Saccharomyces cerevisiae S288C: one gene and its partners. The gene in region 1 interacts genetically with each later gene. Each region holds a gene or a part of one and is shown on either strand. Other genes may lie near its edges.

Region 1 (4,515 bases):
GTTTATCTTGCACATGGCAAGGCCATCGCGTCCCTGCGTCCCAAGAGTGCGCGGTATACGTGCGGCCCTAAACGAGGCGGTCTCTGTTCTCTGATATATTTCTTTTCTTTCTTCGTTGTTTTGTTTCGTGTTTGTTGAGCTCCTGCCTTCAATCGGCATCGTCCTCTTGCGTACGTACATAAAATCGTTACAGCTTTGTTCACATGGTGAAAACAATAGCGTTTGGTACGCTCTTTAAATCTTGGCACTTGTCACTTACGCTCCTTTAAACAAAATCAAACATACAAATATACGGATACGTACGCACACAGAAGCATAAAAGCACAAAAGCACATAAGAAGACCACATATAAACTAGATTATGTCCTTTGATAGACAGTTGACCGAAGACCAGGAGGTCGTCCTTAAGCAAATTTGGACACACCTTTTCCATCTGTGGCAAGTTCCCGTGGATGGAACTCATATTTTCCCTAATAACTCCCTCCACTCCTCGTCCACCCCTGCTAAGAAGAAGAAATCATCCTGGTTTAGCAAGCTTCAGTCCTCAGACCATACACAGGACTCCAGCGAAGCCGCTGAAGCGGCACACCTCTATGAAAAGGGCAAGATACACAAGGCACTAGCCAATCTAGACCCGCAAACGACCAAGAAGCAGTTCTGGCACGATATCAAGAATGAAACTCCAGACGCCACCATTTTGAAGTTTATCAGAGCCAGAAAGTGGAACGCAGACAAGACCATCGCCATGTTGGGTCACGATTTGTACTGGCGCAAGGACACTATTAACAAGATCATAAACGGTGGCGAAAGAGCTGTGTATGAGAATAACGAGACCGGTGTCATTAAGAACCTGGAATTGCAAAAGGCCACCATCCAGGGTTACGACAATGACATGAGGCCAGTCATCCTTGTGAGACCTAGATTACATCATTCTTCCGACCAAACTGAACAGGAGCTGGAAAAATTCTCCCTGTTGGTCATCGAGCAATCAAAGCTTTTCTTCAAAGAAAACTACCCCGCATCCACCACCATCTTGTTCGATCTGAACGGGTTCTCCATGTCCAATATGGACTATGCCCCCGTCAAGTTTCTAATCACTTGTTTTGAGGCTCACTACCCGGAATCTTTGGGCCATCTACTTATCCATAAGGCCCCTTGGATCTTTAACCCGATTTGGAACATCATCAAGAATTGGCTGGATCCGGTCGTCGCGTCCAAGATTGTTTTCACTAAGAATATCGACGAATTGCACAAGTTTATCCAACCCCAATACATCCCTAGGTATCTGGGCGGAGAAAATGACAATGATTTGGATCATTACACTCCACCAGATGGCTCTTTGGACGTCCATCTGAAAGACACCGAGACTCGCGCTATGATCGAAAAGGAGAGAGAAGAATTGGTCGAACAATTCTTGACTGTCACTGCCCAATGGATTGAACACCAGCCATTGAACGATCCAGCATACATTCAACTGCAGGAGAAAAGAGTACAACTTTCCACCGCTCTTTGTGAAAACTACTCCAAGTTAGATCCGTACATCAGATCAAGATCCGTTTATGACTACAATGGTTCTCTAAAAGTTTGAGCCAAGCCACGCGACGCTCCATACTGTATAGACCTTTATTATAAAAACATCTATTTCTTTATATGTCCCTCTATCTTATTTTTCTTTTACTTTTATTTGTATAATACGCGAAAAATTATAGAATCATTTATTATCAAAAACAATCAACTATGAAATGAAAAACAATACGCCTGCTAATACGGTTCGCCCTTCAATTTTTGTTTTTTTTACATGAATGAGTCTTATACTAGATGATATCATCCTCTCACTAACGAATGCTAACGAACGAACGCCACCACAGGCCCTTAAAACCACTTTAAGCCTGCTATACGAAAAATCAAAACAATATGGTCTTTCTTCGCCGCAACTACAAGCACTTGTAAGGTTACTCTGTGAAACTTCCATAATAGACACAGTTACAAAAGTGTACATCGTCGAAAATTGCTTTTTACCTGATGGCTACTTGACGAAGGAACTTCTTTTGGAGATTATTAACCATCTCGGTACGCCAACGGTATTCTCTAGATATCGCATACAAACGCCTCCGGTCCTACAATCTGCGTTGTGCAAATGGTTAGTGCATGTTTATTTCCTATTTCCTGTACATTCAGAACGAGAACACAATATATCCAGTTCTATCTGGTTACATTTATGGCAATTCTCGTTCTTACAGAAGTGGATAACTCCCCTGGTTATTTGGCAAGCCACGACGCCCGTTGATGTCAAACCTTGGAAGTTGTCTATTATCAAGAGATGCGCTATGCATCCAGGTTACCGGGACGCTCCCGGTAGTGCGACGCTTATTTTGCAACGATTTCAATGTCTCGTGGGCGCATCCAGTCAGATTACTGAATCAATAATTACCATCAATTGCAATAGAAAGACTTTGAAAAGTCATCGAAACTTAAAATTGGATGCGCATTTCCTATCCATTTTGAAAAGAATATTATCCAGAGCACATCCCGCTAATTTTCCCGCTGACACTGTCCAAAACACAATTGACATGTACTTGAGTGAAATTCATCAATTAGGTGCTGATTCTATATACCCACTTCGACTTCAATCACTTCCAGAATATGTTCCCTCTGACAGTACGGTCTCTCTTTGGGATGTCACTTCATTGGAACAATTAGCTCAAAACTGGCCACAATTGCATATTCCCAATGATGTAGATTACATGATGAAGCCATCTTTAAACAGCAATGTTTTACTGCCGCGAAAAGTCATGTCTAGGGATTCTCTCAAACACTTGTACTCTAGTATCATTCTCATTAAAAATAGCCGCGATGAGTCGTCATCACCATACGAATGGTGCATTTGGCAATTGAAGCGATGCTTTGCACATCAGATAGAGACTCCGCAAGAAGTTATTCCCATTATTATTTCGGTGTCCTCAATGGATAATAAACTGTCTTCTCGCATTATTCAAACGTTTTGTAATTTGAAATACTTAAAACTCGATGAGCTTACGTTGAAAAAGGTTTGTGGCGGAATCTTGCCATTATGGAAGCCTGAACTAATCAGTGGTACAAGGGAATTTTTCGTTAAGTTTATGGCCAGTATTTTTATGTGGAGTACACGAGATGGTCACGACAATAATTGCACATTTTCTGAAACTTGTTTTTACGTTTTACAAATGATTACAAACTGGGTTTTAGATGATAAATTGATAGCACTCGGGTTGACACTACTGCATGACATGCAAAGCCTGCTAACTTTGGACAAAATCTTTAACAATGCTACTTCAAACAGATTTTCTACGATGGCTTTCATCAGCTCGTTAGATATTTTAACTCAACTGTCGAAACAAACGAAGTCGGATTATGCGATCCAATATTTGATTGTGGGCCCTGACATCATGAATAAAGTGTTCAGTTCGGACGATCCTTTGCTATTATCAGCTGCGTGCAGGTACTTGGTTGCTACGAAAAATAAATTGATGCAATACCCGTCAACAAACAAATTCGTTCGGATGCAGAACCAATATATCATGGATTTGACAAATTATCTTTACAGGAATAAAGTTCTGTCATCCAAAAGTTTGTTTGGAGTCTCACCAGATTTCTTTAAGCAGATTTTGGAGAATCTTTATATCCCAACTGCAGACTTCAAGAACGCTAAATTTTTCACGATAACTGGTATACCAGCGCTATCCTACATATGTATTATTATTCTAAGACGACTGGAAACGGCCGAAAATACCAAAATAAAATTCACCAGTGGGATCATAAATGAAGAGACGTTTAACAATTTCTTTCGAGTTCATCATGATGAGATTGGCCAGCATGGTTGGATAAAGGGCGTTAATAACATTCACGACTTGAGAGTAAAGATTTTAATGCATTTGAGTAACACTGCTAATCCATATAGAGACATTGCAGCATTCTTGTTTACATATTTGAAGAGTCTCTCAAAGTATAGCGTTCAAAATTCTTAGAATATGCATCCACATTTATATACATATATATATATATATATATATTATAACTTCCAAAAAGGAGATTGGACAATTTATATCTATAAGGCATTAATATTTAACTATTTACAAGCACTAGTGGTAAATTCATGGCGTCATATGATTACTTGTGGAATAAGAAACTAATCACATTGAATTTCATGACAAATTTTTTGATTTTTTTATTCATCAAATACATTCTCCCTTCCGGTAAGTTCATCAAAGTTTCAATAACAGCATCCCTACCTAATTTCAAAAAGTTTTTGTCAGCCGTGTACATGAATTTGACTCTGCCATTTACCACAATTTGAAACTTTTTGAATTTGGACTCAGTAGTGCGCTCAACTTCTGGCCAGCGGTATTGGTTCCATTCCATTTGGGAGTTGATCATCTCTGCAGCTTCTTCTGAAATTGACGGGACAGCAGGATATATAACGGTTACCAACTTTTGTAAATTCTGTACTATCATTTCATTCCTTACTTCACCTTTTTTC
Region 2 (6,865 bases), on another chromosome or scaffold:
TAATTACCAAGTACCGAAGGCCAAATGCCTCAAATCAATATAAAGGCTTTCTGTCAAAAAAAGGACATACACGACTGAATTCTAAATCGAGTGGAGATATTTGGGAGAAAGATTGTAGTCATACGAAAAATTCTGGTAATGATGTTTCGTTTGAGAGTGAATTTGAAAAAGATTCGGTTGAGTATCTAAGGGATTTATGTTTCTCTATATACCCAAATTCATTACATCAGAAAATCAGAAGCATAGAAGCTTTGCCAGACCTACAGGTAAATACCTTTATTGCCTTAATTTTCCAAAATTTCGTTAAGTCTTGGTATGGTATCAAAATACCCACTGATGATTCCAAGTTTTTAACCGAACTATATAACTTAGTTCAAGATTTAATAACATATTTGAAGAGTTCCAAAATCAATTACCATGCCCTTTTACTCGATTATATTCCCTGCTTGCTTTCGTCTCACTTGAAAGCATTAAATGACTCATCTCAAAATAACGATTTAGTTTATGAACAGTACTGTAAGCTAACTTTGTATGATTCGAAACGATATCCAATGCTATTCACTGAAATCATACAAAGTAAAATGAGCACCAAATCTCTACTACAGAGAAGCTTTTTGGATAGCTTTTTAAATGAACTTGTGTTCGGGCATATTTTTAATTCAATAGCGGAACCATATTATCTTCTGGAGGGCTTGAATAAAATTTGCATAAGAATAAAGCTAAATTCTGCAGGAAATACCAGAAACGAGGTGACTCATGGAAAGCCTAAATGCGATCCCTGGTTGTTTGTTTCCAATGTAAAGCACAAAATATTGCAAATGACCAGGCTTTTAGCTTATTCAACTTCAACAGAAGCAGCAAATATGAACACTGCCGAAATTCAAGAAACAGCATTTCTACAAAGATATATTTTTACTTTTTTCACCGATGATTTTTTCAAATTATCTATGAGGAAGCCATTCCTATTCTCAATATGCAGAACGCTTCAGCATTGGATCTCTAAATTAAATGCGTTAAACAGGGTCATGTATAGAACATTTGACAATATTGTTCAAACTAAAATTACCAGCCCTGTGACAATTGGCAACTTATTCTCATTATTACGACATTCTTTGTTTCCTAATGACAATATGATGGGGCCACCAAGAGTATTACCAGTGGGTGATGCTTTTCTAGAGTTCAGAGAAGAGTGTATTTCCAATTTATGGGATGTTTGTATGACTTATAAACTTGATCATATCCTCGCTATCAAAAGGTCTGACATAGCGGATCTTATTATCTGCATATCGAAGAATAGGGATTGCAATAAACTGCTAATTTATAGAATTATTGACTGTGTTATTGCGCAGTTGCCGTAGACTTCGTGATGTATAGAGTATTGTTGACAAATATTTGATGTTACCGAAATAGCACTCTTTGTAGCATTATTACCAATTTTTATACTATGAAGTAAGGTCTTAGGAAGCAAGAACATTGTTAACAAATAGCTTTTATGACCTAATCATTAGCACTATTCATTGCCAAATATGCAAATATCTATTCCTTTTGCCCGAACAGGTAAAAGTGGTATTGCTTTTATGTTAAACGCGAAACTGCCGCCACTTCGCTTAAAAAAAACACTGGCTGAAAAAGAACGATGCAGTTTAGTAACTAAAGTTTTTTCTAGCTCAGGCTTAGAGTTCGATAACAACAAGTCACATTCGAGTGCTCCACTTATAGCAATTTTTCTTTTGTGTATTGGTTTGCTCCTGTGTGCTCAGGCTTTTCGTTTGTTGTGAGAGTATTGTTCTTATAACTATTCATTTTTTGAAAGAATTGGCGGCTAGCAATGTCGTACCCAGGGAAAGACAAGAATATTCCTGGAAGAATAATAGAGGCCCTAGAAGACCTGCCTTTGAGTTATCTGGTTCCTAAGGATGGGTTAGCCGCGCTAGTAAATGCCCCAATGCGGGTTTCTTTACCTTTTGACAAGACTATCTTTACCAGCGCTGATGATGGCAGAGATGTTAATATAAATGTTCTAGGTACAGCTAACAGCACTACTTCTTCCATAAAGAATGAGGCCGAAAAAGAAAGGCTTGTTTTCAAAAGACCCAGTAATTTTACGTCATCAGCCAATTCTGTTGATTATGTCCCAACTAACTTTTTGGAAGGATTATCACCGCTAGCGCAGAGTGTTCTATCAACCCATAAAGGGTTGAATGATTCCATTAACATCGAGAAAAAAAGTGAAATAGTAAGCAGACCGGAGGCAAAGCATAAGCTCGAAAGTGTGACTTCGAATGCTGGTAACTTGAGTTTCAACGACAATTCTTCCAACAAGAAAACCAAAACTTCAACAGGTGTAACCATGACACAAGCGAATTTAGCGGAACAATATTTGAATGATCTTAAAAATATTTTAGATATTGTTGGATTTGACCAAAACTCTGCTGAAATTGGAAATATCGAGTACTGGCTCCAGTTGCCAAATAAAAAATTCGTTTTAACTACAAACTGCTTAACCAAATTACAAATGACAATTAAAAATATTACCGATAACCCACAGCTATCGAACTCAATCGAAATAACATGGCTTTTGAGATTGCTTGATGTGATGGTTTGTAATATAAAGTTCAGTAAAAGCTCTTTAAAGATGGGTTTAGATGATTCTATGTTACGATATATTGCTTTGCTTTCTACAATTGTACTATTCAATATTTTTTTACTGGGTAAGAATGACAGCAACTTACATCGGGAATCATACATCATGGAACCGGTGAATTTTTTAAGCGACTTGATAGAATCTCTAAAAATATTAACAATTGAATATGGTTCTTTGAAGATAGAATTTGACACTTTCCAGGAGGCCCTAGAATTGCTACCGAAATACATACGTAACGGCCCTTTTCTGGATGATAATGTCACGGCAAAGCTTGTGTACATCTTTAGCGACTTGCTGATGAATAATGACATTGAAGCAACTACGAATATCCAATTTCAAAGTTTTTGGGATAATGTGAAGAGAATCAGCTCTGATATTTTAGTTTCATTATTCGGTAGTTTTGATCAACAGAGAGGATTTATTATAGAAGAACTACTATCTCATATCGAAAAGCTTCCCACTAAGAGAATACAAAAAAAACTAAGAAAAGTTGGTAACCAAAACATTTATATCACTGATTTTACCTTTACTTTAATGTCAATGTTAGAGAATATTAATTGCTACTCCTTCTGTAATCAGATGAAGGATATTGCACCAGAGAATATTGATCTATTAAAGAACGAATACAAAAAGCAAGAAGAATTTCTTTTTAACATTGTTGAGCATATAAATGACACAATACTGGAAAGGTTTTTCAAGAACCCGTCCGCTTTAAGGTATGTAATTGACAACTTTGTCCAAGATCTATTATTGCTAATTTCCTCCCCTCAGTGGCCTGTAACAGAAAAAATACTAAGCTCTTTGTTAAAGAGACTTCTAAGTGTATACAGCCCATCCATGCAAGTTTCTGCAAACATTGAAACAATATGTTTACAACTTATAGGGAATATTGGTTCTACAATTTTTGATATTAAATGCTCAACTAGAGACCATGAAGATAACAACTTGATTAAAATGATTAATTACCCCGAAACTTTGCCGCATTTTTTTAAATCATTTGAAGAATGCATTGCATATAATGAAACGATCAAATGCCGTCGTTCTGCAACAAGATTCCTTTGGAATTTAAGGCTCGGTACGATCTTGATATTAGAAGAGTATACAAAGGATGCCAAAGAACAAATTATAACCGTTGACAATGAATTGAAAAAAATATTGGAGCAGATAAAAGATGGTGGACTTGGACCCGAATTAGAGAACAGAGAAGCAGATTTTAGTACGATTAAATTGGATTATTTTTCTATTTTGCACGCCTTTGAACTACTGAATCTATACGATCCATACTTGAAGTTGATATTATCACTTCTAGCCAAGGATAAAATCAAACTGAGATCGACTGCTATTAAATGTCTCTCGATGTTGGCTTCAAAAGACAAAGTGATACTTTCAAACCCAATGGTTAAAGAAACTATTCACCGGCGTTTAAACGACTCATCTGCATCTGTCAAGGATGCCATTCTAGATTTGGTCAGTATTAATTCTTCATACTTCGAATTTTATCAACAAATTAACAACAACTATAACGATGATAGCATAATGGTAAGAAAACATGTGTTAAGAATTAATGAAAAAATGTACGACGAGACGAACGACATCGTCACGAAGGTATACGTAATAGCAAGAATCCTAATGAAAATAGAAGACGAGGAGGACAATATAATTGATATGGCTAGGCTGATTTTATTAAATAGATGGATATTAAAGGTACATGAAGTATTGGACCAGCCCGAAAAGTTGAAAGAAATTTCTTCTTCAGTCCTACTAGTAATGTCCCGTGTGGCTATAATGAATGAGAAATGCTCCCAACTTTTCGACTTGTTTCTCAACTTTTATCTCCTAAACAAAGAAGCGCATTCAAAAGAAGCATACGATAAAATCACTCACGTTCTAACCATTCTTACCGACTTTTTGGTACAAAAAATTGTCGAGCTCAACTCAGATGACACAAATGAAAAGAATTCGATTGTTGATAAACAAAATTTTTTAAACCTTTTGGCGAAGTTTGCTGATTCTACTGTGTCATTTTTGACTAAAGACCACATTACAGCATTGTATCCTTATATGGTATCGGACGAAAAATCTGACTTCCACTATTATATCTTGCAAGTCTTTAGATGCACTTTTGAAAAATTGGCCAACTTTAAACAGAAATTTTTGTATGACTTAGAGACGACCCTTTTGAGTAGGCTACCAAAGATGAATGTAAGAGAGATAGATGAAGCTATGCCTCTTATCTGGTCTGTTGCCACTCATCGTCATGATACTGCTAGAGTAGCTAAAGCATGTTCATCCTGTCTTTCCCATTTACATCCATATATAAATAAGGCAAATAACGAGGAAGCTGCCATTGTAGTTGACGGAAAATTGCAAAGGCTGATATATTTATCCACCGGTTTTGCCAGGTTCTGCTTTCCTAAACCCTCCAATGATAAAATTGCATTTTTACAAGAAGGTGAAACCCTGTATGAACATATTACCAAATGCCTACTTGTACTATCTAAAGACAAAATTACACACGTAATAAGAAGGGTTGCTGTGAAAAATCTCACTAAATTATGTGGAAATCATCCAAAACTATTCAATTCAAGACACGTTCTACATTTACTGGACAAAGAATTTCAGAGCGATCAGCTAGATATTAAACTAGTAATTCTAGAAAGTTTATATGATCTTTTTCTACTGGAAGAAAGGAAGTCAGTGAGAAACACTGGCGTTAATAGCACTTTGTCTTCGAACTCCATTTTGAAAAAGAAATTACTGAAAACGAATAGGGTAGAGTTTGCAAATGATGGAGTATGTTCAGCGTTGGCTACTAGATTTTTAGACAATATTCTCCAACTATGTCTCCTACGTGATCTAAAGAATTCTCTCGTAGCTATTCGATTATTAAAGTTGATTTTGAAATTTGGTTACACAAATCCCTCTCATTCAATTCCAACTGTAATTGCTTTATTTGCCTCTACTAGCCAGTATATTCGTCATGTCGCCTATGAGTTGTTAGAAGATCTTTTTGAGAAATACGAAACGCTAGTATTCAGTAGTTTATCTCGAGGGGTTACAAAAGCTATACATTATTCTATTCATACAGATGAGAAGTATTATTACAAGCACGATCATTTTTTGTCTTTACTTGAAAAATTATGTGGAACTGGAAAAAAAAATGGCCCAAAGTTCTTTAAAGTTCTGAAGAGAATCATGCAATCCTATTTAGATGATATCACCGATTTAACATCAACAAATAGTAGTGTTCAAAAGTCCATTTTCGTTCTCTGCACTAACATTTCGAATATCACATTTGTTTCTCAGTACGATTTGGTGTCCCTACTCAAAACCATTGATTTAACTACAGATAGATTAAAAGAGGTTATCATGGATGAAATAGGTGACAATGTTTCATCGCTATCCGTATCAGAAGAAAAGCTCAGTGGAATAATTTTAATACAGTTAAGCTTACAGGATTTGGGTACTTATCTACTGCACTTATACGGGTTAAGGGATGATGTGCTTTTATTAGATATTGTAGAAGAATCAGAATTGAAGAACAAACAACTCCCTGCAAAGAAGCCGGATATCAGTAAGTTTTCCGCACAGTTGGAGAATATTGAACAGTATTCATCAAATGGCAAGCTTCTTACATATTTTAGAAAACACGTGAAGGATACGTAAATATATTGCACTTAAAATATACATAGTATTAATAATCATTTTGCATTTTCCATGCTGATTTTTCACGCAGGTTTTGAGAAGCAACTATGAAATATTGAATTTCATTTACACCATCGCATTATATTAGTTCAAACTAAACCTTTTTTTTCTTGCGGACAGGCAAAATATTAATACCTGAGTTAGTTTTCATTCCATTGTGTGTTTTTACAAAGGTCTTTTCGTTACAAGAGGGCACTATTGCTAAGTTTGGGTTGATATTGTTAATAATAGCACCCACATTCTCAGAAGACCTTTGTGAAATCTGAGATGCAGTGCAAGATGAAATTGAACCTAAAGGTGCCTTCTCTGAAAGAGTTGGACTTATAGATGCAGCATTGTTCCTTAAGGCATTCATTTCTTTTGATTTGACAGTCTCTGTCACAGATATTTCCTCCGCTTTAACATTCAGTTTCATAGACTTTTGTGTATCTTGCCTTATATCCCGAATGACTTCTGGTTCCACCTCCATCGTTAACGGGATGACTTCCCTTCTTCTTTTCACAGCAATTTGCGTTG
Region 3 (4,462 bases), on another chromosome or scaffold:
AGGTTTTAGTCTTTCAGTTTTTTAAGCCCTTTCAACCTTTTTTAAAAGGTGCGGAGATCCTGCTCATATTTTTTTATGATTAGTTATTTTGATATTATGCGTATGATAAATAATCACACCAAGTAATTCAACCTGAATTTCTTATTCGTGTTTAATATGAAACAGTATGATTTCTTTTATTTGTATAACGCTCCTGATGAATTGTGCAGTCAAGGAAATTAATTAAATAATTAAATAATACTGCATTTATTTTCCACCAAACTTATGTCGTGAAAAAAAATTGTCAGGAGTATAACTCTTAAAAAGTAAGCTACCATTGACATTTTAAAGAAATTGTAGATGAACATATTAAAAGCGCCATAAGGCATACAAAAAAATACGCTAGAAGGCTCATCAAAGATCCTGGTAGCTTCAATGCACTGAAAGCGATGTCAAAATTTAAGCAAGTGCATGGCATTCATTAATTTAAGGATAACATAATAAATTCTGGACAATTTTTCAATAGTTGCCAGCAGGGTGAAGATGAAGCCAGGCTATGTTCAATGTATGCTTTCTTTATATTGTAATTCTTTCACTCGTGTATATTGATTTTAGGTAATTTAACGCTATTTCGATTTTATTTGAAATACCTTCATTAAATTGAGATGTTTCCGATTTAAATGCTTCCAGCTCTACTAGTAACAAATTGAGCTCCCCTGGGTCTAAATTACTATTTTCTTTCCGTTGTTTAATTAAAAATGAAAAATTTAAGTAAAACAGGCCCTGTACTAACCTATTTTCAGTGTCAGAACCGTCACGGATCATTTTAACAAATATAGTTTTCATATCATACCATAATTTGCCGTCAAGTTTTAAACGACTATTTTCTCTACTGCAAATATTGAGGCAGAGCCCTAAATGCAAGAGTATGTTATCAACTTTCGCGTCTGTCAATGGATGTATGCTTTCCAAAATTGTGTTCATTGAACTTTGAAATATCATATCTGCCTCTTTCCATAGCGTATAGTTATGTACTTCCATGTTTGTTAACAAGATTAGGATTTTAATCAACGAGTCATCATCAAGCATATCCTTAAACTGATTATTCAAGTTGCTTATCAGTGAATCGAACATTTCAGGTTGTTCAATATACATGTGGCAAAATTCGGAAGCGGTTATTAATTTTTCTAAAAGAGGAATAAAAGTCTTAACGTGCCGACTGAATAAGTCCTTATTTGAAGCAAGGATGGAGATTCTCTTGATTATATCTAACGATAAATTACCATGCATTTCCCAGAGTGATAATGAATAATAAAGTCCCGTTTTGAATTGAGTCTTCCGAAGAAAGTCTTCGAAATTTAGGTGTGAGAGTTTTTTAATATGCTTATTCTTTTTTGTCCGTATTTTACCATCATCTTTACTTAATTCGATAGAGAAATTGTCAAAGCTTGGCGGGAAATCGGATTGTGATTCACTAACTTTATGTAGTAAATAACCCTGTAATAAGATTAATTCAGGAAAATCCGATCTAAATTGCGCAAAACTAAGCTTAATTATTTCCTTTTTGAAATATCTTTTCGCATATTGAAAAAATTCTTCGTCATTAATAATCATTAGGGATAAATTTAAAAGTTTTTTAAAGTATTCATTGATTGGTACCGTAGTATTGTCATTACTTTTAGAATTGGACAGAAGAAACTCAATATCATCCTGGTATTTTATTGTATCTCCCATATTTTTTAATTCGTTGTAGTGATTTGTTGAAGTTAATCCTTCTTTTTCAGCATTACTGTTGTCAGCGTTATTTAGGGACAAGGTGTTAGCTTTCTGATCTACCTCTTCTCCCATTATTTCATTTTCTTTATTTTTGTTTATTAATATTGTTCTAAATTTGCCATATTTTTTGTCTTTGGATGTGCGTATGCTATTATTCTCTATAGAGTCGTCCATCTTCATCTCATTTTCAAGCATTTTATTCAGTATATCATCGTCAGCTCTCGGTAGCTTCAATATGAATTCATTGATGTCATTGTATATTTTCCTTATTGATTCAAATTCATTGTGCATTGTAATGCTGTCTTCATCTTGTACGTCTGGTTCAATTGAAGACGTTATGTTCGCATCATGCTTTTGGTAAGTTCTTCTTCTTTTTCTCTTAGATGCCTTTGAACCATCAAGGAAATTAAAGGCACTTAACTTTTCATCTTTCATAAATGCCATTGAGGTATCACTGCTAGTGATAATTTTGACGTTTTGGTCATTCCTTTTTGAGTCCAGTTGTGAAGAGGGCTTCTCATTTGCACCATCAAATGACGACGAGCTGTCCTGAGCCTTTCTAGGCTCGTCCAATAATCCCTCTATCGGGTGGTCTGCAATACTGCTCGAAATGGTAGAACTTACATCAGGAATCACGGAGTTTACATCGTCATCACTAAATTCAACATCGGAAGAAGATGGCAAGCCTTTATTAGATCTAAAAGGAGTTCTGAGAACTGGGCCCCTCTTTCCATATGCTCTCATTTTTTCAGAAACAGGATGCTTTAGGGTAAGAAGATGGTTTCGTTTTGCGATAGTTTCTCTGCGCAGTTTTTCATTATTATAATAAAGTGAAGCTTCGTCATCAATAAAGTCGCGTAAAGCTCAGAAAGCCTCCTCAACCAAAACTTACGAAATCTATTAAAAAGGGCTGAAGTAAACATAGAAGGGAGTAAATTAGAATGGAGGTATGTATCTTGCTTTATAAAGGATTATATATCATGAAGACCAGCTTGAAAGCATTTTATCATATCTTCTGCAAATAACCTTGTTGAATCAAACGCTCTACATCAGACTGCCTTACGAAAAACTGGGAGTCTTTAATAAGGTTAAACACGCCGTATTCAGTTTGAATCTCACCAGCATCTTTGAGCACTCTAACATCAATAAATACATCGCTCGGAGGCACTAAAGAGCCGGATAAATCAATATCGACCAAGTCACCACTTTTTAAATCAGTAATTAAATCGCAGTATTCTTTCAAATATTCCTGCTCTTGATGAGAAAGGTTATTTGTGTCTTGTTGGCTAAACGTAATGCTACTCATCAAGTCCAGACCATTATTATTCCAAGCCATAGAATCTAGTATGTCTGTTCTCAACCTTTGGTATGCTAAGAGACATCTCTTGTTCCTTTCCATACATAACAAGGTAACGAAATACTGGCATTTAGCCACCTTATCATCTAGCATTCCTAGTTGCTGCTGTTCTTTAAGATATTCCGTATTTTTACGTAAATTTGAAACTTCTTTCAGAATATTTCGTATTATATCTTCATGATACATGGGTAAATTAACATCTTGATTACTTCTTGCGTACAGCTGTTTTGTTCTTTTAGCTTCTAATACTAATTTATTACCTAAATCTCCATACATGATTCTCTGTGAGCATGGCCGTTTATAAACGATTTTCCCTCACATCTATTTTTCAGCTTTCTTCGTTAGTTATTTTAAATTACAATTTTCGCGTTGTAACGACAAGAAGGTTTTGAGCAAATCTGACGTTTCGACTTTAAAGAAAACAAAAAGGTTTGATTAAAGACTAGTAACAAAGATATTTAAATTAAAGTTAAAGATCTATACTATAAATTCTAGTCATGCTTCAAGGTTTCGGCGAAAACAGCAGCTGGCTTGGTACCAGTCTTTTCAGCCTTCTTGGAACCTAGCTTTTCAGCAGCAAAGACCTTGGCGTAAGGGTTCAATCTCAACAAAACTTGCTTGTTCTTCAATGGGTTCTTCTTCAAAACGTGAGTACGCTTTTGAGTAGCTTGGCCAGCTGGTCTGATAGCAGATTGGATTTCAGAAGAGTTGATAATTCTGGTGACATCAGAAGTGGAGATGATGTGGGATGGCAAAGTGTAACCGACCTTGGAGGAGGCAACGGTTTCGGAACCCCAGACTTGGTCCAACTTGGTGAAAGCAGCTTCGGTCCAGATAACGAATCTACCCAAGTGAGCACCTGGAGCCAATTGCAACAAGTTCAAAGAAGCAACGTTGGCAGTTTCAACACCTGGAACGTTTCTCAAGGCCTTGACGATACCGTTGTCTTCAGCGTAGACAACTAATGGACCTCTTCTTTGAGTCCATCTTCTGTTTCTGTACTTACCCTTACCGGCTCTCAATTTCTTGGACTTCAAGACCTTCAACAAGTCGGAGTGAGCACCAACAGCCTTCAAAGCAGCAACAGCTTCCTTGGTCTTTTGAATAGATTCCAAGTCAGTGGAGACAACCAATGGGATTTCTGGAATCTTTTCGACTCTGTGACCTCTGGCCAAGACCAAAGAAGCAACAGCAGTAGCAGCAATAGCAGAAGCAGTGGCGTAACGCTTTTCGTTGTGGTTAACCTTAACGTTCCACTTTCTCCAGGTCTTAGTTGGAGCAAACATACGACCACCACGACACATGTTACCGAAGGCACCTTGACCGGATCTACCGGTACCACCACCACCA

The links. Genes that interact genetically often act in the same process or in processes that back each other up.
Region 2: mutations in CTF3 (region 1) and SCC2 together harm fitness more than expected from each alone (negative genetic interaction), as found in Saccharomyces cerevisiae (3 studies listed by BioGRID).
Region 3: mutations in CTF3 (region 1) and RAD61 together harm fitness more than expected from each alone (negative genetic interaction), as found in Saccharomyces cerevisiae (5 studies listed by BioGRID, with this or other methods).

The regions. Positions count from the first base shown.
Region 1 is NC_001144.5:877,922-882,436, forward strand, and holds CTF3 (Ctf3p), read left to right. Parts: upstream 1-1,801; coding exon 1,802-4,003; downstream 4,004-4,515. Other genes in the region: CSR1 (Csr1p), read left to right, coding at 361-1,587; leucine--tRNA ligase NAM2, read right to left, coding at 4,146-4,515. UniProt on the Saccharomyces cerevisiae protein: Component of the central kinetochore, which mediates the attachment of the centromere to the mitotic spindle by forming essential interactions between the microtubule-associated outer kinetochore proteins and the centromere-associated inner kinetochore proteins.
Region 2 is NC_001136.10:819,467-826,331, forward strand, and holds SCC2 (cohesin-loading factor complex subunit SCC2), read left to right. Parts: upstream 1-1,828; coding exon 1,829-6,310; downstream 6,311-6,865. Other genes in the region: NVJ3 (Nvj3p), read left to right, coding at 1-1,358; SAS4 (Sas4p), read right to left, coding at 6,444-6,865. UniProt on the Saccharomyces cerevisiae protein: Plays a structural role in chromatin and is involved in sister chromatid cohesion. Forms a complex with SCC4 required for the stable association of the cohesin complex with chromatin, which may act by hydrolyzing ATP from SMC1 and SMC3 heads.
Region 3 is NC_001136.10:472,083-476,544, reverse strand, and holds RAD61 (Rad61p), read right to left. Parts: upstream 2,500-4,462; coding exon 556-2,499; downstream 1-555. Other genes in the region: DNA replication protein PSF1, read right to left, coding at 2,762-3,388; 60S ribosomal protein uL4 RPL4B, read right to left, coding at 3,604-4,462. UniProt on the Saccharomyces cerevisiae protein: Involved in resistance to ionizing radiation.